4 linked regions of the Oreochromis niloticus genome follow. The main gene of each other region encodes a partner of the protein of the gene in region 3 in a complex. Links are inferred from orthologs where the notes say so. Each region holds a gene or a part of one and is shown on either strand. Other genes may lie near its edges.

Region 1 (7,863 bases), on a different chromosome or scaffold from region 3:
GCTCCAGGTAAAAAGATGGGAAAAGAAATGACATAACAGTGCGAAAAAAGTTATACAAAAATTACAATTGCTTAAATAATATGAGAACAGGTGCAACTTCACACAAACTAATCGCTTCTTTTGGTCACAAGATGAACATCTGCTTTGTCACAAAAAACTCAAGTTCATATTTTAGAGGTCTGCAAAGCAAAATATAAAACTGCCATTTGAAATCTGAACTCTACAAATAAAGAGTTCTTCCTGTGTATAGAGCAGGGGTAGGGAACTCCAGGCCTTGAGAGCCGGCGTCCTGCAGGTTCCTTGATCCAACACAGCTGATTCAAATGGCTAAATGACCTCCTCTACATGTCTTGAAGTTCTCCAGAGGCCTGGTAATGAACTAATCATTTGATTCAGGTGTGTTGACCCAGGGTGAGATCTAAAACCTGCAGAACACCAGCTCTCGAGGCCTGGAGTTCCCTACCCCTGGTATAGAGGCTATTATTCATTGTTGGACAAGCAGCCCCAATAAGATATGAGATTTCTGACAAAGCAGAGGACAGAGAAGCTCTGACTGAAGTGCACAAAGATCCTGAAATGGATACAAACCCAAGGCGCTACTCCATGTACAGCAACTTGCCACCTAATTCTTCGTTGCCCCTCTGTTCTTCACAGTATTTTAGTCAAAAAGTCAAAAGAGGGGAAATATTAGAACAATTCAAAGTGCCCCTTTTTATTGAAACTAAACTGTTTAGTAGGTGTCTGTAGAAAAATGCATTCTTTTTACAGAAGTACAGCATAAAACCTGATTTAAACAGGAGAAAAACTACAGCAGAGGTCTGCGTGGTTGTATGACTGATGCTGCCACCTGCTGAAAATTTGATGTGAAACATTTGTCAAATCAAACTGATGCAGTATTTTTCTATGTTCCAGTATTATATTCATGTTTAAAAATCAGAATCTATGTCATATAAGATAAGACAAAAAAAAAATAAAATAAAAAGTGGTGCTCAGCACCATAAAACTGGACAGCAATGCATGGCTTTAATACATTTTATATGTAAAGTGTCATCCTCAAAAAGATATTACAGTATCAAAAATAAGTCTCTCAACAATCCAAAATAAATCGGAGCACTGGAACCTACAGAACAGTTACCAACCCAACAAGGTCATCTACTAGACTCGGACTTCAAAACTAATTTCCCTCATTTCTTAAACACAGGATTGCTGACAGACCGATGACAGACAGACCGATGATCAGCTGAAAACGCTTCACACAAGGAGTTCAAATCTTAATTTAACAAACAGAATCTTTGTAAACACAAGAATCACAGGACATGGAGGACAACGCTTTTAGGGCTCTGTGCAGAAGAGTACCTGCTCCTTCTGAATGTAACTATTAAAAAGTAACAATTTTAAAAATGTCCAGTCAACTTAAACGTGTCCCCAATATGTGAATCAGAGAATAGCACAACTGTCCAAGGTCAAGAATTGCAATTGAACCTGAAAACAACTCCCAGCCATAAACTGTGCTCTTCCTTCTTACAAAAGAAAAAAAATGGCCTGAATATAAGTCACCATGTTAGATCTCTGCTGACAGTCACTCTAAATGATCCTTCTTATACCCTTAATGCACAAGAGTGCTCTGGAGGAGTGCAGAACTGCAAACGAAGTGTTCCTCCTCTTTGCGTGGAGCTCCTTTATGGTCGTAATCTGATGATTGCTCAGCGTTTGTCTCGCCTTTTGTCAATTTCTTTTCGAATTCGAACCTTCAGAGCTGCCCTCATGGCTGCATCCAGGATGTTCTTCTCTGCAACACGTTCTACCACCTTCTCAGGCTTGTCCTCCTTCAGAAACAAAAGGCATTTAAAGGAATTACACACAGGAAATGACCAAAGAAAACATTTTTATGAAAACATCATAAAAAGGAATCGGCATTAACCTTGTGCACAAGGATGGATGTAATGGTACCAGAATCAGCTTCATATTCAAGCCAAAAGAGTTCAGTCCCACTGGCGTCAGTCTCTGTGCTTGATCCACTCTCGTTTTCTTCAGCATCAGCACCGGCCCCTGGCTCTGAACCATCTGAATAATGAGCGCATGCACACACACAAACACTTTATCTTCCCGCTAATGGGTGCACTATCAGCACAAAAGTCAAGAGAAAGCACATCAGTCTTACGTCTTCTTCGAGGATGGTACACTTGCATGTCAGGTCGACGGGGTCTTCGAGGGGTTGTGGTGTGTCTCCGCCGCTGAAGCTCTTTGGCTTGCTTCACCTCTTTATCATAGTCATCTCTTGAGAAAGGGAATCAAAATTTAGTTAATGCAGAAAATGTGACAAACAAATAAATCCAAATAAATAAATAAAAAATAAAATTAACACATTGAAGGGCTGGACAAGCATTAATGGAGTGACACTGTTTTTTATATTGTGATTTTTGACTTGACTAACCACTGTATACAGATGTCATCATTTTAAATAAAATTGAAAGACACTGACAGAAAATACTCCTTTTTACCAGTCAGCCAGTCTTCAGACAGTGGTGAGAAGCTTACATACAGGCCATCAATGTAATTTGCGGATTTTCTTTGAACTGGCATGATATTCATGCCTACATATGCATTTATGCACATTTCTAACAGTTTGTTGTATAGTTCAGAAAATGCATTATGAAAGTAAGTCGTGCCTATGTAAATTTGGCACAAAAAGTAAGGTCCATTATTTCTTTCTTGTAACGATGCATCTTGCGAATAAATCTCATACCGTTGGAAAGCCTTTTTATTTCCCCTTCAGTAGTCCCACATTTCTCAGGAAAAATGCATTTTTCCTAACAAATGAATGGGATGAGCAGCAGAGGTGAGTATGGGGGTTGCGCCCATGAAAAAGTTGCTAAATCTTCTCTGCCAATACCAAAGAGCCTTATTCTGCTATTGACTCTTCTTTGGTGTTGCCTATTGAACTGGATGATTTAGGTCTTAAATTTTTTTTTTTTAGCAATTTTTTATTTCAAGAAATATGGGCCTATGCAGCACGTGGAACCATACGCAGACTCAACAGCTTGGCACCTTCTATGCTGGTCACCGGCTTGGTCCACATCCAAGCTGATCACATAACCGTTCAACGGGGTCAGGACTTCAGGTAGGACGTTCCATCCTCTCCACTCCCAAAAACTGGACCTGAGGTGGTCCGCTCTGTTGTGGTGAGCATTGTCATCTTTGAGGATAGAGTTCCCTCCTAGACTGTGGAGTTATGGGATTGCCACCATTTGCAGAATCTCGTCTCAGTATCTCTTGCATTGAGATTGACTCAAATTTTGGCAAGCCTCGTTTTTCCACTGAAGGAGATGCCGCCCCACGTTATAACACTGCCTCCACCAAAAGCTGCTATCCTATCGGTGCAGCAATCAGCACAGTTTCCCAGTGCACATGTTGCCAACAGCAGCACAAATGTGCCTGATGGTGAACAGCAGTCATGGCAGGCCTCCTGGCAGCCCTATGACACCGGAGATTGGCCTGTGCAGTCTGTTCTGGATTTTCTGGGTAGAGCACAGTCAGTGATACTGTTCTGCAAACCTTGACTGCAAATCTACAGAAGACTGACTTCTGTTCCAAAGTGCTGACAGGGTGAAGAAACAGTCTTCTTATGGCGTCGTCTTCTTGGGATGCCCATTTCGTGGCCTGTCTGACATCCCGCATCAAATAAAACTTGGCCTTTGATTTGGATAAGGGACTACACCAGCTTGAAGTTGCCCTATTGGCACGTGCCCTGTAAGGTCCACAATTACAGGTGGTGCTAATCCAACAATCAGACACCTGTCTGTATCCGGGATATCAGAATCTCAAAACAAAAGTCAGTAGCAGAAAAAAAACTGTTTGGGATTCGCAGATAAGATTTTCCAGGTTTTGTCATGGGCACAACCAACAAGTGACACAATTTAAAATAACACAAACAGACTTTCCAGTGAAATATCACTTATTTTCAAAAGCCAAACAAAGATTTTCTTTACTTTTTGTGCCAGGTTTACTTGCTTTACTGAAATGCATTTCAAAGAAACCTACAAACAAAAACATTATGTGATGTGTTTAATTTTTCTCCTAGTATTTTTGGGGTCTGTCGTATTTTCTGTCAAAAACAAGTTAAAATGATCCCCCTGTTAACAGATGCGCGCACTGATTGAACTCAGTTTTTTCCAGTATGCAGTTGTTTATCATTTTGCTCCTCAGTATCTTAAATCAAAGAGAACTGGTCACCAGGCCTCTGCGACCTCCCCATATATTTTAGCTCCGAATGTAAAAGCGTGTGTGTTAATAACAAGATAATATTTACTTAATCGTAAAATTATTTTTCACTAATAATAATAACGATGATGTTTTTAACTGAATGACCTAGTGTACTACCTACTAGCATAAGCTAATAGCAGCTGAGGAACTCACCTAGCAATCTGGTTCCTCCGGATATGGTGCAGGAAGCCGTGGCTCATATCCAAGCGACCACCTGGTTTGTATTTCAGCTCATGGACCCCCTCTTCTCTTAAAACATCCATTTCAGCAAACCGCTTCCAAACGACGTCAGTGTTTATGCACTGCTGACTGCAACAAGTCCCAATCAGAGCACTGTGAACGGTCAAAAAGCTATATAGCTAAGGCTAGCTAACGATAACATGTTGTCCAATTATAATGCTCCCTGAGTTAATAAATAATGATTATAACTAAATTGCGCACCATAAACAAATACCCAAATATGACAAACCTGTATATATATTTAAAACAAACAAAGATCCAGTTATACTTTAGAATTTGGCAAGTTATCATATTAGTTTTTGGTAAGTGACTAAGGGTGGGTATAGCGTTAGTAGGTTTTCAAACTCCGGGTTAGGTTTTAGTTTGCTACTCGACAGCTACAAGGCACAATCGCCGCGAGTTTCGAGGCGCACAGTGCTTGAGCCATTCATCACTCTCTCCAAATAACGTAAAGGTTTAGCTTCTAAATTGTTTTGACGCCGTCTATCTGCTGCTATGGTTTCTTTGAAGCGAGAAAGAGAGGTGGATTTAGATGATGATGATGACAATGAAGACGGAGGTAAGTATATTCCTCAAACGTATGCCCTGCGTTTGGTTAGCAGTTAGCGTTGTTGTTAGCCAGTGGTGCGTTGGTTTTTTTACTGGCCTGTCCAGTAACGCATAGACGGAGCAATAAGTGCCTCTACCATGTGCTTAACAAAACGATACCCCTCATCTTAAAGCACCCAGTGTTTGAAAACAAGCATACCTCACAACCTCAAAGCTAAGCTAGTTAGCATGTTTAGCTCATTGCTTTGAACTGTTGGTACATGGTTTAGCTTGACATTTGTTCTTCTTTGGTCACTTCACGTTGCAGTGGCAGCAAAAGTTGGACGAGGACATGCAGTAGAAGACCGAAGAAGCCGCCACTGTCCTTACCTTGACACCATAAACAGGTAGGTCGGAGTAGACTGTGCATTGCTATTAAAGCTGTATTCCACCTCTGCAGGTGAATTCAAGTCTGTGTGTCAATCCTGCAGGAGTGTGCTGGACTTCGACTTTGAGAAACTGTGCTCCATCTCTCTCTCCCACATCAATGTCTACGCCTGCCTTATATGTGGGAAATACTTTCAAGGTAGGCAAATGGACATTTTAACTGGGGATCAGACACCTTGTTGTACTTGTACTGATTTGTGTGGGGTTTGTTTTGTGTTTTGTAGGAAGAGGTCTGAAGTCCCACGCTTACACTCACAGCGTACAGTTTACCCATCATGTGTTCCTCAATCTGCACACACTCAAGTTTTACTGTCTGCCAGATAACTATGAGATCATCGATTCATCACTAGAAGATATCACAGTAAGTAATGTTTTTCATACTAAAACTAAAATTCATGTAATCTCACTGGCCACTTTATGGGGTACAACTTATTACCGTACTACAGGTTTGGACCCCTTTTACCTTCAGAGCTTGCTTATTAATTCTTCATGGCAGAGATTCAACAAGGTGTTTGATAATTCCTCAGAGAAATTGATCCATTTTGACATGATAGTGTCAGACAGTTGCTGCAGATTTGTCAGCTGCACATCCATGATGTGTGGCTCCTGTTTCATCACATCCCATTGCATTGAGATCTGGTGACTGGAGGCAATTTGAGCATTTAGACTCACTGGACCGTATTCACTAATCTCTGTGACCAGGATAGACAGCATTAGCTACACCAGAGGGACAGCTCAAGTTGAGCAGTTTAGAGGCAAAGTTAGAGACAAGTCTGAGGGTGGTTTGGACATGTGCAGAGGAGGGATAAGGAATATACTGGGCTGTAATGAGAAGAGGTAGATGAACCGCTTTGATGCCACCTAATAGGAGCAGCCGAAAGAAGAAAAAGAATCAACAGTGTAAAATGTATATCTATGCTAAAGGTTAGGTAACATTCAAATTATTTTGACTTTAGTGACTTTTTTTTTAAGCTGAATTGAGTGAATAAATATCTTCCAGTCTGAATTGTGACTGGATTGACTGAAGAAGCACCAGTGTTTTCAGTCTGATATGATAATAACCATGTTCTGTTTGATTTTGTCATTATTTCTGAGCTCTGGCTTTGTATCAGTTACCGCAAACAGCTGATTTGCTTACATTTCTTCTCTCTATAGTACGTGCTGAAGCCAACTTTCACCAAGCAGCACATTGCAGGGCTGGACAAGCAGGGTAAACTGTACAGAGCCTATGACGGTACCACCTACTTACCGGGCATTGTAGGGCTCAACAACATCAAAGCCAATGACTATGCCAATGTGGTGTTACAGGTATGGATATCTGCCACTCTAGATTTTATTAATTGTTGTAAATTTTCGGAATAATATCCTCCCTTCTCATTTGTGTCTCTCTTTTCAAGGCTTTTTCTAATGTTCCACCTTTGCGAAATTACTTCCTGGAGGAGGAAAACTACAGAGGAATCCGCAGGCCCCCAGGAGACATCATGTTTCTCTTGGTGCAGAGGTTTGGTGAGCTGATGCGCAAACTCTGGAATCCAAGAAACTTTAAGGCCCATGTGTCACCCCACGAGATGTTGCAGGCTGTAGTGTTGTGCAGCAAAAAGAACTTCCAGATTACAAAGCAAGGTATTACTTTACATTCACTAAATTGTGCTTTCTGGTCTCAGGTAGGCTTTCAACACAGGTTGTGGTGCTAACTAATTGTTTTTTCTCTTCTGCAGGTGATGCTGTGGACTTCATGACGTGGTTCTTAAATGCCCTGCATGGTGCTCTTGGAGGCACAAAGAAGAAGCCATGTAAGTGGAAGAAAAATCAAAGTGGATTTGACTCTGATGCTGTTTGGTTCTAATGCAGTAGTCTATCTACAGCCTTCTGTTGTGATATTAAAAGCATCTTAATGACTTTAAGGGTTAATTAAATTTCTATTTTTTCATTCTCAAACCTCGGGTTTCATACAGAATCTGCAGTCTCTGCACAAAATCATATTGCGAATGTGCGGTGTGATGGACAAGCTCTGTGGACTATGATGTTTGCAGACAACATTGTGATCTGTAGTCAGTGTGAGCAGGTGGAAGAAATCAGTTCCACGTTACACGTCAATTTGAGGCCACTAAACCTCCCTTTTCTTTTCCTTCTCCCCTCATAGCAATCATTACAAAAGCATTTCAAGGCTACATGCGGATCTTCTCCAAAAAACTCCCACACCCTGATTTGGTGAGTTTCTTGCTTGTTTTATAACTTTATTTAGAATAGAATAGAATAGAATAGAATAGAATAGAATAGAATAATCCTTTAATTGTCCCACAAGGGGAAATTTGGTATTTGTTTGTTTTATTTGTTACTTATTCAAATTCTTTAAAATGACTGCACGCCTTAAGATGCAGTTCT
Region 2 (7,656 bases), on a different chromosome or scaffold from region 3:
CAGCAGAAAAACACACCAAAGAGATTTTTTTTCTTCATGTGCTGAAGGAAGAATCACTGATTAACAGGACGTTGTCAGAGGTGCAGCGTCGTCTGTCAGTGCTGGTTCTTCATTCCCTGTGGTTTTCCTGGTTTCTTATCTGACTGCTGCTGCTGCTGCTGCTGCTGACCCCGACCGGGGCCGGTCATCCCTCTGCCACGGCTGCCAAACAGACCTACAGAGAAAGTGAGAGAAAGCCTGTGTTAGATCAGGTAACAGAAAGTATTCCCAATCCCCTGTAAATATGAACAAATCTTAATATTTAAAATTCATTGAAAATAAATAAAATTAATAATACAGTTAAGGAGAATTGGTATGTATCACTGAAAACAGAAAAATGTAAAGTTATAAAGAACCTGCCACCAACACCAAGTAAAGACCAATATACGTTTAATAACTGGAAATGCCTCACACCTGACTATCACAAGTTTGTCAGAGGAAAAAGAAAATCAGGGGTGAAAGATGCACTTGGGAATTAAAACTCCATTTTCTAAGAAAAGTACCTTAGCTAGGTCTATGGAAATACGGAAATATCTGGTACTACGGCTCTAGCAGTACAGACTTTCAAGAGTGTACCTTAAGTTAACATAAATCCTTCAAATCCCCAAAATATCTGTGGATGTCCAACTTTGCGAGCAGATTTGGAGGCCTACAGAAACCACAATGCAATCAAACCCAGGACCTTCATTCTGAGAGGCCACATTTTTGACTACCACACCACCGTGCTGCCCAACTGGGAAGATCTGTTTAATATCTTTTACAAATCATATCAGGTTTTGATGTGAAGCAGCCACAATCCTCTCATGTGAACAAAAAAAGGAAGGTAGTAGATATGAAAAGACTTTAAATTAAACACTTATAAGAAAAAGTTATGAGGCTCCTGTTGGTCAAATCATCCATAAACATATGTGGTAGAAGCTGTCAGAAATTTCAGCTATGATTACGATAATAGTCATGGGTTCCTAGAATGGTTAGGGATTCGATAATTCTTTAACCTCAGTGAAATTAAAGTTGAACTTGGATAATTTATTTTTACATTTATCAGGTGTAAATTTGTTTATTTACAAACACTCTGGAAAGAACTGACAGAAATGTGGAAACAATACTCAATACTGTCCCATGTTTATTAAGACATCCAGCACGAACAACAAAAGCTGCTTCCACTCACCTCGGCCACCTGCTCCTCTTCCTTTGCCCTGCTGTTTGTTCTGCTGGGCGCCTCCACGTCCACGCCCCTTCGACACCACCTCCTCCTTCACCATATCGATGATTTCATCTGGGATTCGCAGATATTTGATGGTGCTTCCTCGGATGTAGCACTCAGGCATTCTCCAGAACTTATCTCCATCCTGTGAGAGGGGAGTGGGGCTGTCGTTCCATCAAATTGGCTTAACAATTAACTCAAGATTAAAAGAAAAGAAAAAGAAAAAAAAAAAAGCACTCTCTCGTAAGACCAAACAGCTACATATATAGAAATATCTGTACTGAAACAATACTTTAGTAGTGTATTTACAGCAAAAGGAAAAAAAAATCCAGAAGTTCACTCTCATTCCTCTTTCCCATTCAAAATTCCCTGTAGCTATTTAGCTAGAGTAATGTGTGGCTCAGTCCAAATCAGTGTTTTTGGAACAGTTAGAGAAAAGCAGGGCTGTGCACAAACACCAGAGCGCAGCCAGCCAGCAGGTGTATCCACCAAAAAGTGTGAATAACTTACTCAGCCTTTATATAAAACGATGATATCTCTGCACACAACACTGAAAACTGTCTTTTCTAACCATCAGTCATTAATCTAGAGCTTTATTGTAAGAGCAAGGTCAGTGTTACCCTGGATGTGCAGATGACTTCTCTCAGGTTGATGTTCATCCAGTTATCACAACTGACCAGGTGACCGTTGTACGTCTCTCCATTCTTCAGCTCCACCAACTACAGAGAGAAAAGATGAGGGGGGGAAAAAACTTGTCTTAGAATATTTTCAGAATTCAGAGCTGTATTAAAAGTTTCAATACTCACTACAAAAAATAAACTGAACTTGTGCCAATTAAAGTTCTAAAAAGAAATTAGGACTGGCTATAGTTTAGCAAAATAAAATGAGAGAGCTGAAGCCACAATTATATACAGTATAAATTTCAAAAGAAACCTGAATCATTTTCTGCTCACACACTTACAATTCACTGCTTTCTACATGTAAGAAATCTTGAGATGTCACTTTCTCTCCTCACGATTATATTTTTTTTACAGCCTGTTATATAAAATTGTATACATGGTCCAAGTCAGTCTCACCATAGGGTGGTTCTGGGCAGTCTTCAGCAGAGACAAGGGAAGCTGCAAAACAAAAGAGAACCAGGTCAAACATGGCGAAACGTGTGTAATCAACGGCATTTACCGAAGTGAGCACTGAAGCGAGAGTACATAAAACAGCCAGGAGTGTTATAGTCCAAAGAAAACGTCTCCATAGCCGCGGTGTTTAGCGTAGACATGAAGGTGCTCTTATGTTCAGGTTTTTTAAGAGTGCCTTCAGGTCTACGTCGTTTACTCACCGACTCCTATGAACTGTCAGTAACCTTAAAACTGCAAGAGTATGGAGCTAAATAAGATTATAAATCCCCGCCTCAGCACGTCGAGCATGACCTAAAAGCTTTCTAAAGCTATGTATTAAGTCTGCACTTATTTAAAAACAACTAGTGTACGTAATCGATGCTTAATTTAGCTGCTAAGCTAACTTCACATAGCTAACGTACCGAGTATGGAGAGGCAAGGCGATGCTGCTAGCACTGAGAGTGCTAGCTGAAAATCTAGCACTCTCAGCGCCACTGAAGAGAAGAAAAGTTTTAACAACTCACCATTTTGATGGTTTCTTTTTTTCTTTTAGTGTCTTACTTGCTAACACGATTTTCCCACCTACTGTTACTCTTTGTCTTCCGGTGCTGCGAGGCGCATTCATGACTGTATTATATGATGCTGCCCTCTACTGTCAGAAACACGCATTTCCAATATTAAATGAGAACAAATGAAAGGTGCAACGATTAAAATGTGCCACTTTAATAAGAATAAGTAAAGTAAAAAATATCAAAATAATTAGATATAAAAATAAAATTGCATTTTTTATATGCTGCATCTCTCCTATTCCCAAGATATACTTAAGATATCCTTCATTTGTTTTATTTATAAAGATAATTCACCAGTGGGTGTTTAATTTAGCAAAAAATCCCCTTTATCTGAACCATGTTTTCTCACAGATTTAAAAACTGATAACCGGAGACTGTATGGCGTTTTGGTGGTGAGCAAACAGTTAGATTAGTTATTTAAGGAATACTATTCTTCTTTCTTCTTACATTTTTAGTCCCTTACCAATTGTTTAAAACTATTGATTGTTAAAGTCAACAAATACACTGGGAAATGGAGGAGAATTATCCAAATAACTGAAAAGTTTTCATATATGAGACACACGATTTACATGAAATCCAAAAGCAGGTCAACAGCCAAAAACACAGAGTTCAACACATTGTTCATCATTATAAGGTAGAATACAACCATAACCACTTTCTTCTTATTTTAAAGCGGTTATTAGCAACAGCTCTCCAGGCTTTCTGAAGGTCTTTCAAAGGTTTTCCTTAGAAATTCATTGCTTTTTAACTCATTTACAGTCCATCCTAATAGTTGACCATTTTCAGAGATATGCTTTTTATTTTTTTCTTTCTTTCTAATACCACTTACACTGACCTATATCATTTAAGTAAACAGCTATATTAAAAAACGGTCACAAGAAACCTTAATAGAGTTCAAGTTGTGTTGAAGAATTAAGGTAAATATTGACTTTCATGCTGGTTAGAATTGTATAGACTGTTTTTTGCTTTGTATTCTGTATTTTCATGTATGTTTGCACATGCTTCAATGCACCTAGTTCCCATTTTATTTGCAAAATATAAAAAAACGGGTAGCTCAAGACGTTTGCACAGTAATGTAAATAGTTTAATAGAAAATGAAAATAATGTTAATTTTTGAAGTTACATCTTCAACGCAGGAAATGGATGGATTTATATTTTTTAATTAAACAAATAAATAAATGAGCAATAGAAACAGACAAAGAGGTAATAGAAAAAACCCCCATTAAAACCACTATCAGGAAAGTATAAGACCCGTTTGGAGGGGTTATTTCGATGACTTGCCATGAAAATATTATTGCCTTTCATTCTGTCATACATTGTCCCATCTGGACCAAAGAGCACACATACGATAAGGCTCCAGCCCTGAACATATTTCAACTGCCATATTTGACATCAGGGACAGCGCCACCTAGTGGGAGCAGGAAATGTCATGTTTTATACTTTGGGGTTCAGTATTATGATGGGTGACATCTGCAGCCTCAAATTTCTCCAGGAAAGCCTTAAGGAGTTGGTCTTGCTTTACAGTGAAATCTGTGACTTTTCGCGAAAGGGTGTGACCCCAGCAGCATGGCGAACTTTGATGTCTCGCCATGAAGAAACAAATTAGTATAGCTCAATGAAATCCAGACTGATCAGCATCAGCACCAGACTTTACAGGCATGATGTCAGACCCGCCCTGAACAGATTGATGTGACCATTGTCAGGAATACGCAGGTTTTCACAGGTTCGTCGTGGCCACCTCAAAAGCGGTGAATATCACGATCAGTCCATCATGATGCTTCAGTGCGAAAATTGTGACTTTAAACTGAACGGCGCACCCTGGTGGCAACGCGGTTCACCATGAAAGATGAAGTGGCTTTTGAGGGGCTTGGAAAGTTTAAAAAGTCTTGAAATTTGGCGCACACCTCCAATGTGATGAGGGCTTTGTTGTTATGTGATCACTTTCCTTGAATAGTGCAAAATGGCTCCACAGCGCCCCCTACACAATTTCAAAACAACAGCCCCTGCTCTGTGTTTTATATATGAGTCTGAAACCTGGTAAGCTTGTGGGAGATATCAAGATGTACAAAAAAGTCTCTTGGAGCAATATCCCAAATCCAACAGGAAGTCGGCTATTTTAAAATGAATGTGTAATTTTGGCGACATTTTCCCCTCTTTTCAGGCCTCGTTCTTTGACGAACTCCTCCAAGGGATTTCATCATATTGCCGCGATCTCCTGTGTGTGGAATCTAAAGACCTTTGTGATGTTAAATTGCGAAGCTTTTTACGTTCAGGGAAACGGGGTGGTCATGGTGGCACGTGGAGTTTCAATCACTCGCCAAAAAGCAGTAATCTGCTGTCACTCAAAAATACAATGTCCAGTCTCTCCCAAAGGTCGCAGGCGTGATGAGACTCGAGCTCGGAAATGTTTGTTATGGCATTTGTCAGTAATGGTTAGAGCGCCACCTAGTGGGACGACTATAATAATGGTTGATTTAGATGAAATGTTAGCTGGTGGTTAAATGCATGAATTCCATCAATATAACATCAGATCGGACGCGCTGGTTTTAGGTGTTGGGCTTGGCTCGACGTGCCGGGGTGCGAGGGCCCTCGTATCGCTGCTTGCAGCTTTAATTTTATATTGTAATTACAATGTTGAGAAACTCCCTGTAAAACTCTCATCCTTCCATAAGCAGGTCCTCTTAGCATGGACCCTCATTTATAAACACAACTTCTCACCACACAAATACCTCATCTGGAACAACAGAGATATTTTATTTGAAAATAAATCACTTTTCCTGGAAACTTGGGTCCAAAATGCGATCCTATTGGTGGCTCAGCTGGTTAATAAAGGGGGACAACTACTTACTTACAACGACTTTATTGCACTATATAATTTTCCAGTCAGTGTTCGGGAATTCTCAATGGTGCTTGGTGCCATACCCTCAGGTACTTTAATGTTATATAAAAACACTGACAGCTCAATATCTACCTCACTCACTCTCCCAGATACAGCTGAGTCAGCAGTAGGGAAAATCTGCTTTTCACAGGAACTTGGTGACAGCAATAAGAGAATACGCAGTTTATTCCAAGGGGATATCGTCTCTCTCCCATATATAATATCTTACTGGAACCGATATGTTCCAGATATCAACTGGAAGACAGTCTGGATGATCCCCCATAAATATTTGATTGTAAATAAGGTGAAGGAAGTTTCATTTAAAATTCTACATAAATGTTATCCTGCCAGTCACTACATGGTAAAATTTAAAAGAGACATAAATACTAATTGTACTTTCTGTGGGGATCATCCAGAAACTGTGACACATCTTTTTTGGTACTGTTCTTCTACACAGAGATTCTGGAAGGAATTTAGCAGGTTTGTTATTGTCCATATTTTAAGGGAGTTTTCTTTACGATGGGAAAATGTTTTATTCTGTTTCTTTAAGTTCCCCAAGAAGAATGATAAATGTTTTTTATAATAAATTTGTTAATACTTTTAGCTAAATTTTTTATCCATAAATGTAAGTTTACTAATAAAACACCATATTTCTGTCATTTTCTTAAGCATGTGGAATTGTACATACAATCAATATCAGACTCCACCAACAAAAAGGCTCTCAAAACAATATATATATGTGAATTTTTGCGTGTATTCATATAATTATTACTTTTTTCTTTTTACCCCTGGTTTTGTGTGTTCATGTTCTGTTCTTCTGTATACTTCATCTTTTCGTATGTTGTATACTCACTGTTTGTCAAATAAAATTTTAAAAAAAACTATTTAAAAAAATCTTTCAAAAACGTATTTTTGCTGACGTAATCACGTCACGTCTTAGGCTGCCTGCGGAAGGAGGGAGTACCTCCGGTTTGTGTGTGGGAGAAGGAGCCGTCAGCTCTGCGGGGTGGACTCTCACTCTAACCCTGTTCAAAGTAAAGACCGAGAAAAAAGAGGCAGCGGTTCCTCGTGATCGGGACGGGAGATGGATAACAGTAAACGGGCTGTGGTCGTTACAGGTTTGGGCTCTTTTATCCGCTGTCGTTGTCTCTTTTGTCTGTTGAGGAAAAGTTGAGGAGACTAAAGCTGCTCCATTAATGGCGTCAGGTCGTTCCTGCTCCACTCTGTTGCAACTGTACAGAAAGAAACGAGTACTTTTGTGGGAGTTCTGACCCTTTAGAGTTTTGGGGGGAGGCATTATTGAATAGTTACACGCTACAGACCGGTTCGGTGATCTCACCAGTGTGTTAGATTACTTCAGCTGAAAGGCCGCAGACAGTAAACAAATTACTCCCTTTTTATTTATATCATCTTTTTATTACACATTTTTTTTTGCTCTATGGATACGGTATAATATTTGTTTCTAAATGCTTTCAAATATCCCGTGTTCATCTGAAGTATTAGTCACTAATGATGAGCACATACCATATGGCAGCAAAGGTAATAATGCATATATTTTCATAAATATTAGATGTTGTTAGTTGTGACTTGGGACATTATTGAAATTATTTCAGTTTTAAAAAATGGATATCATAGGAGTTATGTCAGTAAATATAGACAGATGAACAATAGATAAAGTTGAAAACACAAGACAGAGAGAGTTTAATCATGAAATCTTTAGCCTAAATTATTGTTTTTTATTCTTTATTGCTTTGAATTATTCGTATCTTCCTGTCTAATTGTTGGGTGTGATGCCATTATAGATCTGTGGCTTAAAATACATATCCTATTCCCAAACAGGGACTAGGTTCCACT
Region 3 (7,358 bases):
TGCCAGACTTCTGAACAAATCACCAAAGTTTTCTCATGTCACACTGCTACTCTCCCAGCTCCATTGGCATCCCATTGACTCGAGAATACATGTCAAGATTTTGGTTCTCACTTATAGGGCTCTGAATGGTCAAGCGCAAGCATGCATCTAAGAACTTTTACATCTGTATGGCCTTAGCAGATCCCTAAGGTCATCTGACCGAGGCCTGCTGTGCCACATGCAAGGGTAAAAACTAAAGGTGACAGAGCCTTATCTCAGTAGTAGCACCAGGACTCTGGAACTTTCTCCCCTTTAGTTTTAGGTCTGCAAACTCTGTTCAGCTTTTTTAAAAGCAACAAAAAATCTTTTTACAATTGCTTTTAATGAACTATTTCAATGTACTGATGTCTGATGTTTTTTGTTTTCTTTTGTTTAGCACTTTGTGATCAATATCTTTAAAGGTGCTATATAAATAACTAAACTCACTTTTGCTTACTTCATTGTATGAGATTGAAGACTAGGGGGTGGGCAGAGTCTTTCAGTCTGTGGCACCAAGGGTTTGGAAAAGTCTAACATTCCAGCTGCAGTGGGGAAAATAATTATTTCATCATCTGCTGAATTTGAAGGTTTGCTCACTTACAAAGAAATTAACAGTCTGTAATTTTAACGGTAGTTTTTTTTGAATGGACAGAATATCAATCAAAAATCCAGAAAATAAAACACGTTACATAAAAGTTACAAATTGACTTGCATGTCACTGAGTGAAGTAGGTTTTTGATCCCCAAAAAATGTGTTAGTGCTTGGTGGAGAAACAACTGTTGGCAAGCACAGTGGGAAGATATTTCTTTAGTTGGTCACGAGGTCTGCACACATCTCAGGAGGGATTTTGTGCCTTCTTGGGCAGGGAGACCTTATAGCATAGTGTTTTACCAATTGTGTTCTTGGTGACTGTGGTCCATTTATATTTATTCCATTTCATAATAATCACACCAACATTTGTCACCTTCTCAACAAGCTTCTTGCTGATGGTCTTGTGTAGATCTACAATCTTGTCCTTGATGTCATTGGACAGCTGTTTTGGTACTGGTGGTCAAAGTTGGAAAGAAAGAAATTGATTCTGTGAGCAGGTGTGCTTTCTAAACATAGCGAGTTAAGTTCGGGAGTATCTGTAATTGACTGAATGTAATTTGTGTGCCACATGGACACGCAGCCAATTTGTGGGAGGAAGAAGTGTGACTGGCACTTATTTCAGTTAAAGGCATGCAAATCAATGCATAACTTTTATGTGATGTGTTTTTTTCTGGATTTTTGGTTGATATTCTGTCCCTCTCTATTAAGATAAAAATTAGCGGCTATGCATTTTTTTTTTTCTAACTCAGCAAAACGTACAAATTCAGCAGGAGAATCAATTTTTCCCTACTGTACATTTAGCTGACTCTTCGACAATTGAATTCTTCTCTGTTTAACCACGCTTTCTATTGAAATTCTATTATTAATTATATTTTTATTGTCTTTTTTATTGTTATGTCTTCTACCATAGTTTTATATTGCTAGCACTTTATAAATAAACATCACTTACTTTCTATTTCGTCACTCCTTAAGGGACAACTTCATTTTTATTGAATGACTTTCTTTTTTTGTCTTTAGGTTTGTTTTAAAAGAATTTTAAACACTTGTCTGGTTCCCCCTTAGCGAGGTCAGGCCTGCAAACTTTGCTCATTGCAACTGCTGTAGTTTGAAGTTTGTTTGGCCGGGCATGCCTGGTGGAAAGCGTTGCCTCTGCCTATCAGGTCCAGCTGCCTGTGTCAGTCAAAGAGTCCATGAACCTAACTCCAGTATCCAGGTGGCTGTATAGGATAGTTGCCTGATAGTTATTGTTAGAAAAGGGCCAAAACATCCCTTGGGATTAACTTCTTGTTGGAACGGGCCTAAAGTGGCCACTAGAGGAACTAATGCAGTTTTTGGCACTTCCATATTGGCATCAGTTTTCAGCTCCAGAGGCAGCCACATTTGTACAACACATACAATGGAACAATAGTCACTGCTACTTGCAAATGTCATTACATAACTGACAGCCAACGAGGTCAATCTTGCCAGCAGCAGTTATTCTTGGGCAATATATCAGTGAATACCTAAAAACAACAACAACAACAAAAACAACCCAAGAAGCAATTACATACTCCACGTGCATATCTTCAAATGTTCTTGTTTTCCTGAACCAACAGAGCTTAACTCCATAATGTTCACTTTGATAATAGTTACCTTTAAAAAGCTGGAAGCCATGTGGTAAACTATTTTGCTTAAATTATGGTAAAATACATTTAATTTTCAATTGAAATAGTAGCTAATATATAAATCATTAGACTGTTTCAGATCAAAACATTGCATTGCAACTTGCATTCAACAATTTAAACAGAACAAGGAATAATTTACTACACTCAATAACTTAAATAAGTGATCAGTAAGACCTTGTTTTTGGGAAAACTAGATATATGACATTCTGATTTTCCTCAAGGTCACAGAGAAAAATGGTTTCAAAGTGAAAACAACAAAAGGCGTTTGTTGTGGTGGAAAAAGCATGTAATCAAAGTGCCTCAGATTTCCATGTATTATTCTGTGGTCCTAATTAGAGGCTTCCTTTAAACTACCAGATTTCCTTCCATATTCACACAACTTGGGTTGTAGTGTGCTTGTAAACATGGACGTAAATATTAAGTACATGAGTGATGAATCGGCAGGGGATGATGATGGAGGTGTGTTGTTCAGTAGGAGTAAATGAATGCATCTGTAATGACTATCTGACATTTTGGTGATAGAGAAAGAGCATGTGTTGTAACTAAAGCATGCTGCGTATGCAACTCTTCCTGATGGTTGCACGTGGCATTAGCACTGTGAGCGAAAGCATGGATGTGGTTTGCTGTAGACAGAGCGAGTCATTTGGCAGCCTGGTGTAGCCTCGGGCTCTCTGCAACTGATTCATGCTCACACTACTATAAGTGCACGCAGTTGACCCACATCATGCAAAGAGAGGGAAAAAAGTCAGGAGGCGGGCATTCAGGGGAAGGAAATGGAGATCATCTGATAATTTTTACCAGGGGACTGGGTTCATGACTGAGCTGCGGTTAATAATTAGGCAATATTTATGACTAGTTTGACTTCTGTGAAAATCATAGAAACACTGCGCTTTTAATATGAAGACAAAGCCCTATCATGAACCTTGTAAAGGAGAAATATGAGAATACTCTCTGCCAAAGCTCTTCATCAGCTATTTTTTCAATTTGGATTTTTATTTGCAATTCAGATCACTCTCTTAGTTCCCAGAATGTAAAACATTAGTTTTAATCCAGCTTTAACTAGTTTTGGTATTTGAAGTTGCCAGGGAAAAGATTTAACCTCTTAACAACCACCAAGTCACTGCTGATCCACTTAGTGGTAGGCTTATGCTGAATTTTACCAAGAAGATGAAGAAGCATAGTCTCAGAAACTAGAAGACATTATTACCCTTAATCCTAAACAGGTGACCTGGGTGAGGTTAAGAGGCCAAGAACATGATATGTATCAAAGAATAAACACTTTTTCCATACTTAAAAAAAAAACAAAAAACATTAATCTCACTTTACTGATGTATATACATATTGTTGTTATAGTAACATTAATTTTCAAGTCTATTCTTTATTTCAGTAACTAATTATTTCGATTACACCTAGTGTTCAGCTAGAGTTTCTATAAATATATTGCTCTGCAATTACATGATGCCAACAACTTGATAGTCAGTTAGCTTAGTTTGATTTAAATGGACAAAAGACTGCGTGTATCACCAGACAAATCTGCTAAAAAAAAAAAGTGTAATAAATTTTTCTATATACGTTTGACTTCTACCATCATTTTGTGCTGTTAGAGAATTTTAATCCAGGATCCAAAGACTGCCATGGCTCTCTATTATAATGTGTCCCATGTGTATTATAGCTAAATAGGCAGATTCATTAATGTGTTTTCGCTGGTGAAAATGAAAACTAGTTGGGGCTTGTATAAGGTTAGTTGAAGGAAAATGGGTTTGAAAGCGAACTCGTCAGGATAAAACGCAGTGTGCATAGTCACACCCACAAGACAGTTTTAATTCCTGGAAAAACCCTGAGCTGTGGGCATAATGCTATAACGACACAACATTAACCTGGTCAAGAACGAACTTTCACGGATAAATAAATTGCCTTAACCCTCAGATTTTTAAAACTATTTGGGAGAAATACGTTTTACCTTGTGGAAAACAGGGATATTTCCATACATGTGCAGATAGGTGGAAACACCGCACACTTGAAACGAAACGACTCTGCGGAAAAAGTCCACGAAGAAGAAGCTGCGTCCATTTCCTGTTCCGGGGCTTGAAACAGAAACGTCGTGCGGACGCGCGACTAAACAGAAAGTTTTGGAGAAAACTTCGCACGTTGAGTGTTTCACGCGTCTGAGTCTTCATCGTTTTTATTTGACCTCCACGGCGTAAACGGGCTGACTACGATAGAAGAGTAATCTAAGGTTTGTAAGCCTCATGAAGCAGTTATTCCCCGGTGATGGTAGCTCGCTTACACCAGTGTGCTAACGTTAGTTAGCATCTAACCAGGGAGGTTTGGCGGATGTGATTGATTTAACAATGTATGTTGCTACGGGCTGGCGCTTTAATTTAATCAGTCTGATTTAACACTCATCAACTAACAAAGTGCAGCAAGTTCGGAGTGACTGACTGTTTATGTGGGAGTTTTTATTAGTTGCAAACTGGTGAACGTCTGTGTCAGAGCAGCTGTAGCTAAGTGAATAAAGGACGGCGGGTTTTGGAGCTCATGTTTGGGACTATCACATTTGTGTGATATAGGACTAATCAAGGCCAGAAATCACGAAGATTTTGAGTAATAACCATGCTCAGTAGCGGTAATCCATGACATAAGTATTTGATGTCCTGCAGGATTGGAGGATGTCTCTTCCAAAGCGGGAGGTGGAGGAGTTGAGGCCATGGGTGGAACGCACTGTGAAGAAGGTGCTGGGTTTCTCGGAGCCCACTGTGGTGACTGCAGCATTGCACTGTGTGGGAAAGGGACTAGACAAAAGGAAGACCATAGGTAAGTTCGGAGAAATATCTCTTATTTATTTAGAGATCTGGTGACGATTCAATTCAGCCAAAAGTGCCTCTGACATCAGAGGTATATCCCAGGGTGATTTGTTTTACCTTCTTACAAAATGCACCCATCATTGCAGAGAAAAAAGTCCAGCCAAGTAGCAAGAGTCCAACAGCAGTCTGAAAACCTATCTGGCCTTCTTAGGAGTATTTGACATGACTACCAAGCTGTGGGTTCTTAACATAGTGCAGACAGCCAACCCACAAAATGATGGCGTGAGGATCTGCGATGTAGCTATCAGCAGGGCTTGTTTGCAAAGGTAATAGATTTGCTGTCCAGTTAAAATACTGCAGTCATTTGTTCATTCAAATGAAAGATTATGAGTACAAAGAAAGCTGCCTATTGCTTTTATTTGTTTGTTTGTTTATTTATTTATTTATTTCATCTGTCTGGGAAATAATTGCTTGGTCTGTTAGACTGTGACTTCTGTAGGTGCTGTAGTTTAAATGTCAGTGTATATTTTTATGTGGGTATTTAAGCTATTCTGTGGTAACAGTATTTTCTTTTCAGAGTGTTAATTATTTCATATTTATTGTCCTCAGACCAACTGCGTCCTTTTCTCGATGACTCTGCTGGAGGCTTTGTAGAGCGGCTTTTTGAAGCCCTCGAGGAGAGCCGCAGCACACGTGGGAACAAAGGATCTGGAGAAAAAAACCGGAAGAGAGAACTTAAGGTAACCTAACATCATAGCAAATGTTCATACTTTATATTATCATTATATAACTGAATAACTAGATCTGGAGGTGAGGAGTTTTCTGACAAAAAACACGCTCATAAGCAAAAGTGACCCGTTTAAAGAAATTAAATACATTGCATTCAATGCATGCAGTGATTAGTCTGATTGTGTTAAGCCTCAGTTTGATTAACTTAAACCTCAGTGTAAACATCCCCTTACACTTCCTTTACTCCAGCATTAGACTTAATTGAGGTTTCACTCAGATTGCACTTAACTTTAGTTCTACATGGACTGCACTGATACAATACTGATTATTCTTACGGAAAGTTTAATTGCTGCATAAGATATTTATTTTTATTGGTGTTTGTGTGTTTGCCGGTTGTACTCAGGATGTGTTTGGTGAAGAGGCTGACACAGGCGCAGTGCGAGAAACTCCCGAGCCAACAGATGGCACAACGGCAAAGAGGAAACGAGTCCCCCGTTTTGAGGAGGTGGAGCAACCTGAGGTGATACCAGGACCTCCATCAGAGAGCCCCGGCATGCTCACCAAAATGCAGGTACATGATACTTGGTGCAATAGACAGTAGACAATATATATATGTGTATATGTAAGTATAGTGGCTTTATTTTCTTTGTCAGTCACCTCTGAATCCTTTTGCTGTCCTAACAGATCAAACAGATGATGGAAGCAGCCACAAAACAGATCGAAGAAAGGAAGAAACAACTAAGCTTTACTGCTCCAGCTCCTGCTACAACAGTAATGAGATTTCTTTCCCATAAAAATACATACTGAATAAAGAACTGCCGCCTTTTCAGGCTGTAAATTCTATTTGAAACCTTTCTAATTTCTTTCTGACTCTAGCGGTTGCCTGTTCCCACTCCACAGTCGCAGCTGGATGCCCCTCCACTCTCTCGACTTCTTGGCACTGCTGGTGCTGCAGCAGCTGGTGGTGGGTCATCCATCGCTCCCTACCAGGCTGCCAGCTTCATGAATGATGCAATTGAGAAGGCCCGTAAAGCCGCTGAGCTACAGGCTCGCATTCAGTCCCAGTTAGCTATGAAACCTGGCATCCTCGGAGCTTTGGGGAACACTGGGCCACAAAACTTTGTGGCACTAGCTAATCTACATGCCATGGGGATTGCTCCACCGTAAGTGATGTCAGACTATAAATATAAGATTTTAAAATATGCACAAGACATGAAAAAAGTAGGTGATGTCTTTGTGCTCAATTGACATTGAACTGCTTTCTCTTTATGTGTAACTACAGCAAAGTAGAACCCAAGGAGGTGAACAAACCGACACCTCTTATCCTGGATGAGAAGGGAAGAACTGTAGATGCCAGTGGCAAAGAGGTTGAACTCACACACCGCATGCCTACGCTCAAAGGTACATACATGGATACAGTGATCCAATATTTGTACACAAACATGCACAATGTGTTTTCTTTGTTTTGATATTCCACAAAACATTTTTCTTTCCCTGTGTAGCTAACATTCGAGCAGTAAAGAGAGAGCAGTTCCGCCAGCAGCTGAAGGAG
Region 4 (7,231 bases), on a different chromosome or scaffold from region 3:
CTTTGTGTCCTTTTCCTGCATGAGAACTGTTAATGTACATTTATGTGTCTTTACACTCGCCCTCCAATTAAAAATTCAGTAAAAGTGTGAAGTTTGCATTCTTTCCAACCAACAGCTGTACTTGCTTACAATCACGCAACGGTATTACATAACATCTGCAGTTTATCCTGGAAACATTATTTTGTTGTTTTAATTGCCAAGAAAAATTAAATCTTAATGGCACCATTCCTTTTGACAGTAAGTACTAAAACTACCAGCTACAAAAATGCAGGGATGATGTGTAATACCGATTTAGAAGTGGGTGAGCAGAGGCATGAAGAGCCAGGAGTTATTTGTTTGTCTGAGGACTTGCAATCTTTTCATTGGTTACAGAGTGTTTGGTAATGAAATGTATGCGTGCCAGAGAAGGTATTTTCATATGAGGGAAAATGTCCTCTGGCAAAGCACAACAAGCACTTTTGCTGTAACAAAACAAATTTCCCACCTGTGGGACTAATAAAGGCCATCTTATCTCTTATCTTATAACAAGTTAAAATATGACAATACGTCTTGATGATAGTAGTTTACTACCACCAAGATTAGACAGCTTTAAAACAAACTTCTAGGAATCCTGAAAGTCTCCTTACAGAAGTCCAAAAAACAAAAATCAACATACTACTGTATGCATGTATACCTATATATATATGTATATATAATTAATATATATATGAACTTAGATCAAGCTTATTTATATATATTTATATATATATATATATATATGTATATATAATTAATATATATATGAACTTAGATCAAGCTTATTTATATATATTTATATATATTTATATATATATATATATATATTATATATATTTATATATATATATTATATATATTTATATATATATATTATATATATATTATATATATATATTATATATATATAATATATATATATTATATATATAATATATATATATTATATATATATAATATATATATATGTAAAAAAAACAAAAACACCCAGCACGCCCCTGCGGGCGGTTTATCCTTCAAGCTCGGGTCCTCTACCAGAGGCCTGGGAGCTTGAGGGTCCTGCGCAGTATCTTAGCTGTTCCCAGGACTGCGCTCTTCTGGACAGAGATCTCCGATGTTGTTCCCGGGATCTGCTGGAGCCACTCGCCTAGCTTGGGAGTCACCGCACCTAGTGCTCCGATTACCACGGGGACCACCGTTACCTTCACCCTCCACATCCTCTCGAGCTCTTCTCTGAGCCCTTGGTATTTCTCCAGCTTCTCGTGTTCCTTCTTCCTGATGTTGCTGTCATTCGGAACCGCTACATCGATCACTACGGCCGTCTTCTTCTGTTTGTCTACCACCACTATGTCCGGTTGGTTAGCCACCACCATTTTATCCGTCTGCATCTGGAAGTCCCACAGGATCTTAGCTCGGTCATTCTCCACCACCCTTGGGGGCATCTCCCATTTTGACCTCGGGACTTCCAGGTTATACTCGGCACAGATGTTCCTGTACACTATGCCGGCCACTTGGTTATGGCGCTCCATGTATGCCTTGCCTGCTAGCATCTTGCACCCTGCTGTTATGTGCTGGATTGTCTCTGGGGCATCTTTACACAGCCTGCACCTGGGGTCTTGCCTGGTGTGATAGACCCCAGCCTCTATGGATCTTGTACTCAGAGCTTGTTCTTGTGCTGCCATGATTAGTGCCTCTGTGCTGTCTTTCAGTCCAGCTTTGTCCAGCCACTGGTAGGATTTCTGGATATCAGCCACCTCCTCTATCTGCCGGTGGTACATACCGTGCAGGGGCCTGTCCTTCCATGATGGTTCCTCGCCTTCCTCCTCTTTCTTGGGTTTCTGCTGCCTGAGGTATTCACTGAGCACGCTGTCAGTTGGGGCCATCTTCGTGATGTATTCGTGGATGTTTCTTGTCTCATCCTGGACTGTGGTGCTGACACTCACCAGTCCCCGGCCCCCTTCCTTCCGCTTAGCATACAGCCTCAGGGTGCTGGACTTGGGGTGAAACCCTCCATGCATGGTAAGGAGCTTTCTTGTCTTTATGTCAGTGGCTTCTATCTCCTCCTTTGGCCAGCCTATTACCCCAGCAGGGTACCTGATCACGGGCAGGGCGTAGGTGTTGATGGCCCGGATCTTGTTCTTACCGTTCAGCTGACTCCTCAGGACTTGCCTGACCCTCTGCAGGTACTTGGTGGTTGCAGCTTTCCTAGCGCCCTCTTCGTGGTTCCCATTCGCTTGCGGGATCCCCAGGTACTTGTAACTGTCCTCTATGTCTGCAATGTTGCCTTCTATATATATGTATATGTATATATATATATATATATATATATATATACATATACATATATATATACATATATATATATATATATATATAATATATATATTATATATATATACATATATATATATGTATATATATATAATATATGTATATGTATATATATATATATATATATATATATATATATATATATATATATATATACATATATATACATATATATATATATATAAGCTTGATCTAAGTTCACTCAAAGACATTTGGTGAGTTAATGGTTTGTAGTTTTGTGACAATCAACTTTTGGATACATTTTCAAGGAGGAGCATTTGATATGATGTAATATAGTAGATAAAATGCAGCTGCGCCTTAGTCACATTAAACAGTAACCAAATGTAATGTTACTATAATAAAAAAATAAAATCTAATAAAATGTTATCAACTATGAAACATGAACACCTTTTCACAGCCCATGTGTAAAATGAAAGGACCAAAATAGATCCCAAAGGTTGACTCTGTTCGTCTGGACGTAGAGTTTTCAGTGGGAGAAACATTTCATCACTCTTCAGTCTCAGCTCAGCTCTCTATCAACTCTCTACTCATGGCCAATGATCAGTGGTCTTTGATCAGTAGTTGTTGATCAATGGTCATGAGAATTTGCATATTAATGATCAAGGAACTGACCTTCCACCCATTGTCCCTTCAGTGGTGCTAGTTTCAGTCATTATGCAAATGTACTGTTTATAAGATTGTGGAATCCCGCAGTCAGCTGAGACTGAAGAGGTCACTTGGATGAGTGACGAAATGTTTCTCCCACTGAAAACGCTACATCCAGATACACAGAATCAGCCTTTGGGATTTACTTACCCGGATGATTGAGCATGCATCAAGATATTAAGATAAGACCAAAATAGATGGCACCAAGTTTCAGTAATTAGCTCACAGTACTTTGTCTATGTCATTCTCGAACCTTTATAGAAATGTTTCACTGGGTAAATCACCTTAAATGAAGCTCTTCTAAACCGTATTTGTCTGAAAGTACTTTTGTGCAGGGACCTGTAACTGTGTAATGTTTTTCAGTGTAACCACAGTATAAACCTGTCTTCTACAATCACTGGTAAAGACCAAAAGTTCTTCCAGACAGGGGCGGGGCTAAAGGGGTGGGGTGTGGTGGCACTGACATATCTGAAATTTGTTTGCTCCTCTTCTTCACACACATTCATCACTTAAGTAGAAATACAGATAGTTGTATTTAAAAATGCTCTAGTAAATATTAACATACCCATTCAATGTCCTTACTCAAAAGTTTTGTTTTTTTTTAAAAAGTACAGGCTCTGAAATGTACTCTATACAAAAATAAAAAGTAGCTCTTTGAATTTTTTGACAACTAATTAAAACTCATGTTATATTATTATTATTATTAAAAAAAATCTTAACAAAGGCAGTAAAAAATGTAGCTGTATTTGCTGTTGTCTAAATTGTAGAGCGTTGACTTTGCCTCCACACCTAAATAGAAAAACGACTATAGGGCTACATCGAGATTTGGCAGGTGTGGAAACACTAAAATTACCCGAAAAGAAAAACGTAGAAACAAGTGACAAGTTGTTTCTGATCGGATTTTCTGAATTCCTATGACTTCCACACCCCACCAACCCGCTGTGCCACCCCATTAAAAAAAAATCCCGGAAATGCCCTTTGTTCCAGTTAATATTAAGAAAATTCTTCCATGTTGCAGCTGGAAAGGATGCCGTGTTTTCCTGAAATCTGATTTTGGAAGTCATTTTTCTCATAAATGAAAAACAGAGGTTACCTAAAGCAGATTGAATAGGGTCAGGACGTCTTACAGCATAATTCACTAAGGAAAAACCTAAAATGTGGTTGCATCTGACTAAAACGTACACACGGACGTGACGTAAACACGTCTGGCGCTGGATTGATGACGTCACGTGTCTAGAAACGAACCATTTGCGACAAAGTACACAGCGGCAAGAGCTGTAGCAGAGGTATTATTCAACAAAGTTTCTCTTTCTTGGAGTTACGAATTGCATTGTTACCACAAACACTACATTCGTGGCCTAATAACACGGATTTATTTACGTTTTTAGGTAAGTGTTTCCGAAGTTTGTTCACTTCTTTTTATGCAGGGCTCTCTATTTCTCCTTCCAGATTTTTCCTTGCTAACCTCAACCCAGACTGCCCCGTTAGCAGCAGGCTTACTGCCTATTATGACTAACACAAACAAAAACAGAGGTTTTATTGGATGTAATTTATAATGTAATTTACACATTTGCTACTGTTATAATGAAACATATTTATTTGCAGCTTAGGAATCAAAAACTTTGGATCAACATGTCGTACATGCTACCACATCTCCACAACGGCTGGCAGGTCGACCAAGCCATCTTGTCTGAGGAGGACCGAGTCCTGGTTATCCGCTTCGGACACGATTGGGACCCGACATGTATGAAGATGGACGAAGTTCTTTACAGCATCGCGGAAAAGGTCTGAGTAGTTTATCAACGACGACTGTTTGCTAGCTTATGTTTCTTATCTGAACTCCTGTAGAGGGCGCTGTTTGTGGGGGTTTAACCGGATGCATGTAATATTATTAAGCTGATAAAATTCAGTATAGAGGAGGTCATTTTAGTACTTTAAGGGCAATACGTGGAATATTTTACCATTTATTGTAACATTTAAATACGTCTTAAAATCTTACAAATTGAAAATATATGCACAGCATCCTTGGTGGGGTCTTATTCTGGGATGTAGTGATTTTTCTCTCCTGCAAATAATCTTTCTAAACGCAAGTCTTTCTCTTACTGTTAATTACAACTTAAGAGGTGAAAGTTTGTAGAGCCTATAACTTGTACAAATGTAATGCTGGCACTTTTTCCCCCTCCCTCTCCCAAGTAGTCTTTGTTTTGGTCATTTTGTTTGTTTTCATGGTTCAGGTTTTTCCCAAGTCTTTGAGTTTCAGCAAGCTACCTTCAGTAATTTGCTGACATATGTTAGTCCTTATAGTGTGGCAACAATTTTTATTTTTTCACTGGTAAACTCAAAACCCGGAGGAAAAGTAGCCATAAAAGACAGTATGACTTTAGTAATGACTCAGTTCAGAGAGCCAACTTCACCCATGTTTCTGGGTCACTCCTTGAGAGCAGTGTTATGGATACAGCAAGTCAAGAAGAGGGAAAAAAAGTGCACCTAACTACATTTTCACTATGATAACTGTAGTGTCAGTGCAGTTTGATTCAATATTACTGTATCAATTTCCATTGATTCAATTTAGTTTAGTTTAGTTTTTTTGGCCTTTTAGCCTGTAATGGATAGAGACAGCATAGATAGACAGGAAAGTGGGGAAAGAGAGGAAGACATGCAGCGAAGGGCCACAGGTCAGACTCGAACCCAGGCCTGCTGCTATCTGGCCACAGGCCTGCTCACCAACAGAGCTAGTATTTGTTTATTTATTTAAACCCAGATTTTTTTTGTTTGAGACTTTCTAATGCCTCTTAAAGGGGCCTGGAGGCTCCGTACTACATTGACTGGTCATGGAAGATTATTGCTGATTTTACAACCAAGGCTTTTGCTGGAGGATTTGGCTCTGAGGTAGCAATTGGTTGATGATTTTCCAGATGTAACCTTGCTACCCAGAGCTGTTAAAGTTAAAAAGAAACCTGGCCTTGTGTAATTTTTAAAAGATAAAATTGACTTGATGTCCAGGAAAACATTTTGCTAAGAGCAGCACTTTTCTTCTTCTTTTTTTTTTTCTGTCTGTATTTACTTTTGTTTTTTACTTTGCCTTGACAGGTTAAGAATTTTGCAGTCATTTACCTGGTGGACATCACAGAAGTACCTGATTTCAACAAGATGTACGAGTTGTACGACCCCTGCACTGTCATGTTCTTCTTCAGGTGAGGCTGTCAGTGTCAGCCCTGCATTCTGTCACTGTTGTTGTTATTTAGTAGACTGGCATTGCTGGAATGCACTCAGGTTATTAGTTATTAAAACTAATCATATTAACAAAACTGCTAAATCTTGCAGTCATTGTACACTTCATTTATGTAAGGATAATCTAGTTCTTTTAACACTAAAAGTGTTCAGCTGTGCTCTTCTGGACTCTGCTTCACATCAAACTCACAACACATTAAATAAGCAGACCAGAAGACTGTACTAGAGAGGTATGATGGTGCGTGGGGGAAAACACCAGATACTGATATTTTAATAAAGAAGTTAACATACTCTGGGAATACTTTGAACAAGAGAGCTCAACTCATGCATGACCATCTTGAGAAAACTTAACCGAAAACTTTCCCAGCACTGGACACGCTTATCTTAACGCAGCTGCCCCCTAATTCAGAGCAAACAATCACTTTTTGATTGTAAGGCGATTACACAAGGTACCTGATGGGAGGCAACCTTTATGCAAACAGTTGCTGTCCGACTTGAATAAGCAGTCACACTCTGAGAGATTGCCGAAGGTTTGTAAATACGTGCTGTCTAATTTGTAAATGCAGACAGATTGCCAGCATGTTGCCATCAGTTTGAATGAGTCTTTGTTAAAAGCTGAAGGCAAGTCGACTCATCCGGCTGCCAGCTGGTTGTACTCTGGTTATATTCCTATAGAGCAGGAAGGTTCATCAGTTTATGCTCTGATCATCATCAGGAGCATCATCTATCAGCAGTCTTCCTCATGATTATGATTGGCTGTATCAAACTAGACAGATGGACAGTTACTTATTTGTTTTGGACTGAAGACCATAATTATAAAAGTTAAAACAAGAATACTTGAAATAATTCACATTATGTCACTGAAATTTAAAGAAAAAAAAAAAAACCCTTCAGTTTTTAGTTTTAATCTGTTTTCCACATTAGAACACAGATGGAAACCCAGTTTTTGGTATTTAAATGTGATTTAAAGGAACTCAACATCAAACTT

Evidence for each region.
Region 1: prpf3 (region 3) and usp39 share a complex: the UniProt entries of both Homo sapiens proteins name them as parts of the U4/U6-U5 tri-snRNP complex. The link is inferred for Oreochromis niloticus from reciprocal best matches to the Homo sapiens genes PRPF3 and USP39.
Region 2: prpf3 (region 3) and lsm4 share a complex: the UniProt entries of both Homo sapiens proteins name them as parts of the precatalytic spliceosome. The link is inferred for Oreochromis niloticus from reciprocal best matches to the Homo sapiens genes PRPF3 and LSM4.
Region 4: prpf3 (region 3) and txnl4a share a complex: the UniProt entries of both Homo sapiens proteins name them as parts of the precatalytic spliceosome. The link is inferred for Oreochromis niloticus from reciprocal best matches to the Homo sapiens genes PRPF3 and TXNL4A.

The regions. Positions count from the first base shown.
Region 1 is NC_031977.2:19,023,286-19,031,148, reverse strand, and holds the start of usp39 (ubiquitin carboxyl-terminal hydrolase 39), read left to right. Parts: upstream 1-4,859; 5' UTR 4,860-4,998; coding exon 4,999-5,062; intron 5,063-5,359; coding exon 5,360-5,438; intron 5,439-5,522; coding exon 5,523-5,617; intron 5,618-5,702; coding exon 5,703-5,839; intron 5,840-6,633; coding exon 6,634-6,786; intron 6,787-6,875; coding exon 6,876-7,101; intron 7,102-7,196; coding exon 7,197-7,271; intron 7,272-7,621; coding exon 7,622-7,689; intron 7,690-7,863. Other genes in the region: lg12h2orf68 (UPF0561 protein C2orf68 homolog), read right to left, coding at 1,704-1,826, 1,922-2,064, 2,162-2,277, 4,417-4,526.
Region 2 is NC_031980.2:32,135,487-32,143,142, reverse strand, and holds the start of lsm4 (U6 snRNA-associated Sm-like protein LSm4), read right to left. Parts: upstream 3,018-7,656; 5' UTR 2,883-3,017; coding exon 2,880-2,882; intron 2,362-2,879; coding exon 2,320-2,361; intron 1,963-2,319; coding exon 1,864-1,962; intron 1,389-1,863; coding exon 1,208-1,388; intron 215-1,207; coding exon 96-214; 3' UTR 1-95. Other genes in the region: pyroglutamyl-peptidase 1, read left to right, coding at 6,887-6,920. UniProt on the Homo sapiens protein: Plays a role in pre-mRNA splicing as component of the U4/U6-U5 tri-snRNP complex that is involved in spliceosome assembly, and as component of the precatalytic spliceosome (spliceosome B complex).
Region 3 is NC_031976.2:21,498,920-21,506,277, forward strand, and holds the start of prpf3 (U4/U6 small nuclear ribonucleoprotein Prp3), read left to right. Parts: upstream 1-4,347; 5' UTR 4,348-4,509; intron 4,510-4,933; 5' UTR 4,934-4,942; coding exon 4,943-5,087; intron 5,088-5,686; coding exon 5,687-5,817; intron 5,818-6,209; coding exon 6,210-6,377; intron 6,378-6,490; coding exon 6,491-6,577; intron 6,578-6,682; coding exon 6,683-6,969; intron 6,970-7,088; coding exon 7,089-7,207; intron 7,208-7,308; coding exon 7,309-7,358. UniProt on the Homo sapiens protein: Plays a role in pre-mRNA splicing as component of the U4/U6-U5 tri-snRNP complex that is involved in spliceosome assembly, and as component of the precatalytic spliceosome (spliceosome B complex).
Region 4 is NC_031985.2:28,337,921-28,345,151, reverse strand, and holds the start of txnl4a (thioredoxin-like protein 4A), read left to right. Parts: upstream 1-4,224; 5' UTR 4,225-4,400; intron 4,401-4,617; 5' UTR 4,618-4,644; coding exon 4,645-4,797; intron 4,798-6,102; coding exon 6,103-6,206; intron 6,207-7,231. UniProt on the Homo sapiens protein: Plays a role in pre-mRNA splicing as component of the U5 snRNP and U4/U6-U5 tri-snRNP complexes that are involved in spliceosome assembly, and as component of the precatalytic spliceosome (spliceosome B complex).